2 linked regions of the Saccharomyces cerevisiae S288C genome follow. The protein of the gene in region 1 purifies or fractionates together with the protein of each later gene. This does not show direct contact. Each region holds a gene or a part of one and is shown on either strand. Other genes may lie near its edges.

Evidence for each region.
Region 2: the proteins of KSH1 (region 1) and TVP23 purify together in Saccharomyces cerevisiae (affinity purification with a luminescence readout, with the first as the bait; one study listed by BioGRID). This does not show direct contact.

The regions. Positions count from the first base shown.
Region 1 is NC_001146.8:585,940-588,714, forward strand, and holds KSH1 (Ksh1p), read right to left. Parts: upstream 882-2,775; coding exon 663-881; downstream 1-662. Other genes in the region: EFM6 (putative protein-lysine N-methyltransferase), read right to left, coding at 1,168-1,908; FAP1 (Fap1p), read right to left, coding at 2,324-2,775. UniProt on the Saccharomyces cerevisiae protein: Involved in the early part of the secretory pathway.
Region 2 is NC_001136.10:612,905-615,777, reverse strand, and holds TVP23 (Tvp23p), read left to right. Parts: upstream 1-1,773; coding exon 1,774-2,373; downstream 2,374-2,873. Other genes in the region: AFR1 (Afr1p), read left to right, coding at 1-1,490; RRP8 (25S rRNA (adenine645-N1)-methyltransferase), read right to left, coding at 2,527-2,873. UniProt on the Saccharomyces cerevisiae protein: Golgi membrane protein involved in vesicular trafficking.

The DNA.
Region 1 (2,775 bases):
TAACAGTTTGTTGTTTACACTACTTTTTAGCAGTGTAAAACTTTTGCATAGTTAAATATGCCGAACTGATCTAATAAAAAGTCTGAATAACTCAGATGAGTTATTTATTGGTAAACTTGTGTAAGAAGAAGATGGAATAGTGAATAATTCATCAAATGATGAAATACCAATGCAACAGAGTCAAGCTCTGAGTTTCAAAAAGAAACATGGACGAGATTGCTTTTTTATTACTGACCATGATTATTCATTACTTACCATTGTTCCTCATTCTATATAATTGATTGGGCACCACGTAAATTCTTGAGCCTTTTCGGTAGTATTCAATCGCAATATGGGGTAGTTTACGGAAGTGCTGTAAATGATGTCTAAAATGAACAACTATGCGTCCTTATTGTGACAATGAATTCCCTTCTTAAATCTCTATAGAGGTCGAATAGATGAATACTCAACACAAAACACTATAAAATAAAAAAAAATACAAAAGTGTTTATATTTTTGCTGTGCGTGCTAGCTCATAGCACCCTTACTTGTACGCTATCAGACGATAGAATTAAAGAGACACTTCGTCTGAATCCACTTATACTCTTTGTTTTAAAAGGTACTGCACCTTCTATGACCTTGATTTGCGTAACTTTAAATCCATATGACTAAGTATCTTCCAATCAGCTGTTAAATTGACTGATGGCCATCAAAATACATGCTAAACTAACATATGGACTGGCCCTTTCACCAACACGTGCCATTTTCCAGAAGGCCCCCAAAACCTCATGATTTTTGTAACGATCTAGGAGAGACGGCCACTGCCCATGAACATAAGAACATGAACAAATCAGTAACAATATCACTTGCAGAAGAGAACGAAAATTAAATAATGCAGACATATTCTGTCGTGGAAAAAGGACGCAACTTTGCAAAGTAAATCGATCCGGCTCTCTAGTTATTTTGCAAACGATGTTTACCGCTGTTCTGTCTTTATCCTTGAGTTGTCGTTGCTCACTCTATTGAAGATCAAAATTTCGCTCAAGAAGAGCAGTCCCACCATGCGTACACCACACTACAAAAATGAATGTTATATCGTTTTTTCATGAATTACAAATGTCTATCGAAAAGTTCATTACTAAATATAATAAGATCAGGATCATTAAGAGATAAATTCACTGTGTCAGGTTACTTCCTGATAAGCTGAAACAAGTGGGTTCTTTCCTTAAGATAATGTTCAAATTTACTAAAATCTGTAATTTCAAGAACGTCAAAATTTCTTTTAATCTTGTTGAAAAAATGTTTATCAGCTTTTCTTCTCTTCTTGTAAGCCATCAAGATTACAGGTGGGTTTATGCAGTGAGTGAGATCAAGTAGTGTTTTTTCTAGTAATGGAAAAGCTTCCTCGAGATACACACAATCAGCTGCCAAAACTAGATCAACGTTATTTGCTTGCATAGCACCTTCTTGAGGTGAGAAATCTGCCGACAGCGGCTCACCCCACCAAAGTTCCCTCGCAAGAACTTCATACTGAACTTCGTCCAGTTCTATATTTCTTTTCAATAGTGGTATCAACTTGTCAATGTCCGTAACATATACTTTAGTGCCATCGTGGAATGTGTTTTTTTCCAACAACCCCACGCACAATCCAACTAAACCTGTACCACTACCCAATTCTAAGACTTTTTTAAATTGTTTCGTACCATTGACCGTCTTACTTAGCAGATGGTCAACTGATTTCTCGAGTATGTACTCGCACAACAGTTCGCCAGCGATCCAGACTTTACCGCCACAACCACTTTCACCGCCATCTTCACAAATTTTCAATGCAGGCAATAATTTTCCACCGAAGGAAAGGTCTGTTTGACCGAGATGCTCCTTTGGCCTAGGAACAACTAGATCTCCAAACCCACCAAATATACTCTCCATACTCAATACCTCACTAGTCGCGTTTTTATAACGTTCTAGGGAAAATTATGGGCCATTTTTTTACATAGAGCCTGCTCATCATAACTTTTGAATTATTTAAATACGAAGAATTACTTTCAGTGTTTGGGTGTGAGGGACTTTTCGTTTGGTCAAGCCAAAAAAGCTTAAGAGAAAAGAAAAATCTCTTCTGGTTTTACTTGACTAGGTTTCCAAATTATAATATCCGTATTATTAACGTGACACTCAGTATTCTCCATTCGTTTACGGGAACGTTGATATGTAAACATATGCAGATCCTCGTATTTTAGCAACGACAGGGAGAAACAAGAAATGAGATAGGATGAAAAAAAATAAAAGTTAGATATTTCTATTTAATTAGAATTCCGCGTAATAAATAATGACACGCTATTATAGTTCATGTATTATTATCCATTACAGGACTATCCTCTTGAATTACGGGCGTATCCAACCTTCTTTCAAGTTCTTCTTCAGTTGAACACAACGAAATGGAATCGGCCAAAAATGCCTCTTTGGCCATAAAATCGAAGTGTCCAACCAAAAGCTCCATGTCACGTTCGGTATTCACGGATGCTGTTTCGTAATTTTCAGGATACACTAGTGCTGTTTTGCCATCATCAAGGATTAGGTATTGAGGATTCACTACTAACGTATGCTTGAGATGTGGTTCAAAAAATCTCCTTAGATCTTCGGCAGTATTTCCAGCAACCAAATTTTGAACCAAAAAACCATTTTTCTTAGCCACCTCTACTTTAGGTTCCGTATCTTGAACCTCGAAGTTGATTAGTTTAGCTGTGGTGCGAGCTTGAAATTCTTGTGCTTTCCTTTCCTTCTGCAATTGTTTAAATG
Region 2 (2,873 bases), on another chromosome or scaffold:
AAGAATTAACACCTTATCAACTGCAGCGCTCTAAAATGAAAAGAAGCTTTCAATTTCCCAATGGCGAAATATACAAGCCAAAACTTGATGGAAAATGCACCCACAGCTTGAAAAAGCCTGAATTAAATTCAAGAGACTCTTCTTTATTCAAATTCAGCGAGAAGAAAGGTCGCAATTTATCAAAAGATTTTGTGGGGCCTCATAATGGGACATCAGTCATACATATTCCTCCCAATGATACAGGCTACGGTGTAAATAGCTTGGAGCTGAACACTTCAGTTCCTTCAACAATAAAAAGTTCGGTTTCATCAACCTCTCCGATATCTGCTGTTAATACCCTGACCAGCTTGCCAGAAAGTCAAACTGATGATGATGACGGTTATGAAAATAAAACTGTAACTATATCTTATTGCTTCGAAAATACGGTAAATGAAAAACATGGTAGCCATATAGAAAAATTGGATTTATCAACTAAGGAAAAAACTAAGCCAACAACTAATTCAGGCCTATTTGATAGAAAGAAAAAGACTATTCTGGGCACTGAGAAATATAGATGTATAAAGTCACAATCGAAGTTGAAACTGGGTTCTGTTTTGAAGAAATTATGGCGTACTTCAGGAAACTCGAATACAAAGCATGGAAAAAAGGATACAAAAAGAAGGAGAATTCCTATCGATGATATGGTTACGCATTCTGATGGAAATTCTGAAGCTGAGAATGATATTGAATTAATGGATGCAAATCTGGACGGCATTGAATTTGACGACGACGAAACTCTAATGGATACAGATTCAATTTTTGATGATCTGTTGTCCAAGGAAAATGATAAATACGATTTGAGGCGAAGGCAATTAGAAATACGACAAAAGCTCCACGAGACCTCGCACAACGACGATGGCAAGGTTTCTTTTCGAGATACCGAAAAGCATAATGTCAATGAAGGTTTGATCGACAAGACCATAATCGAAGAATTTTCAAAGCTCGGTGAATATATAATCGACACGAGAAATCAACCACCACCAAGATCGTCCAAGAGGCCTTCATTAGATGACAATGAATCTGCACGATACTTCTACAACATATCGACAGATTTGCGACAGTCTCTGTCAGGTCCAATAAGCTTACCAATGCATGTTGGGAACGACATGGTAAATAGGTTGAGAAATGACTGGGAGTATATCAGATTCGAAGATAGAAGGAATTCGCTGCCAGATTCCTCATTTGATAAAGTCGAAACACCTCCAAAACCAATAAAAAAAGATGTCCGGTTTGCAAAAGAAGTATGTTTAGCAAGCACTTGGTCATCGAATGCATATGAGAGAGCTAATCCGGAATTCATTATGAATCGCCACAGATTGTTGTGGATGATGAAAGTACATCCAAGCATGAATAGTGCCATGAATGAGATCAAACTTGAACTTAACTCTTACAAAAAAAATGAGATGGTTGTCCATGAGAACAGCAAGTGCTTTACACATTATTTAATTTGAGTTATTAACGTAACATAATCCAGTTTATTTTTTGCAATAGAAGGCGTCATACATATTTATATATCAATGTATACATTCCATTCCAGTTACTTCTTTTGCATCTTGCTTCCTGTTTACCTTGACCTCGAACCTATTATTTGTCCGCAATGCGCCTTTGGGTGAAAAGGGATTTCGTTTCCATTTTAACTGTACATAATGTAAATGTAGAAAAGCGTGGTTCTTAAAGGATTTACGGTTCAATACGCTTTTATAAACCTGCTGGTGCTCTAATTACGAATGAAACATGGACCAGGCAAGAAATTTCTACAACACAATTTTAAAATCGTCGCACCCGTTGCTACTATCATTTCATCTGGCAGGTAAGGCAGTTCCCATTGTATTTTATATCATAGGATCAATGTTTTTGAATTTCACACCTCAATTCATCACTGTCGTTCTTTTACTTTCTTTTGACTTTTACTTAACAAAAAACATTACAGGTCGGAAACTGGTCCAATTACGCTGGTGGTATGATTCTACAGATGTGAACAAAGATTCTAATTTTACTTTCGAATCATATAAGCAATATGCGCCGGGCCCACCAATAAATGCCATCGATTCTAAGTTATTCTGGTGGTCGATGTATGTGACACCCGTAATCTGGGGTGTCTTCGCTGTGTTGTGTCTTTTAAGACTGAAAATATTCTACCTGATTTTGGTCATTGTTGCAATGTGTCTGACCGCCTGGAACACGTATGGATTTCGTTGTTGCGATAGATGGGAGCCCAATAGTGGACAATCTGACGGTCAAGATACTAATAATTGGTTCGCTCTTCCTTCTGTTCCGGGCTTTGAAAATCTTTCAAGGCTGGCTAATATCCAATCGTTTTTCCAGAGACAATAAAACCTTGTCCCTCATGTGAACATTGTGGAGTACTTCTTCTAGATGATTTTTACTTTACGCAATGTACTACAGGAAAAGAATACAATTATATGTATAAATATAGTATACAAAAGAAAAAACAATATTAAAATATGAAAATGACGGATGAAGTCGTTATCTTCTTTTATAAATACAGGGCTTCAAGAGCCATTTTCCTTCGGCAATTTTCCGTCTTTTCTTTTCTAATTCTTCCTTCTCAGTTTCAACTTCAATAAACTTTTGTCTTCTTTCCAATTTCTGCCTTCTCTCTTCAATAATCTCCGCAGGTGGCTTGAAAAATTCGAATCTTGTAAACATCTTATTCTCGTCGAAGGTCTTTTTGTGAAAAAATCCCATCAGCTTCAAAGCGTCTACAAATTCATTACCTTTGCCGTCACTAAACCTTGATTTAATTTCTGCGATCCATAATTCACCCCTTGGCGCTAAAATCCTATAAGCTTCTTTTATGAAATCGAGGAAAT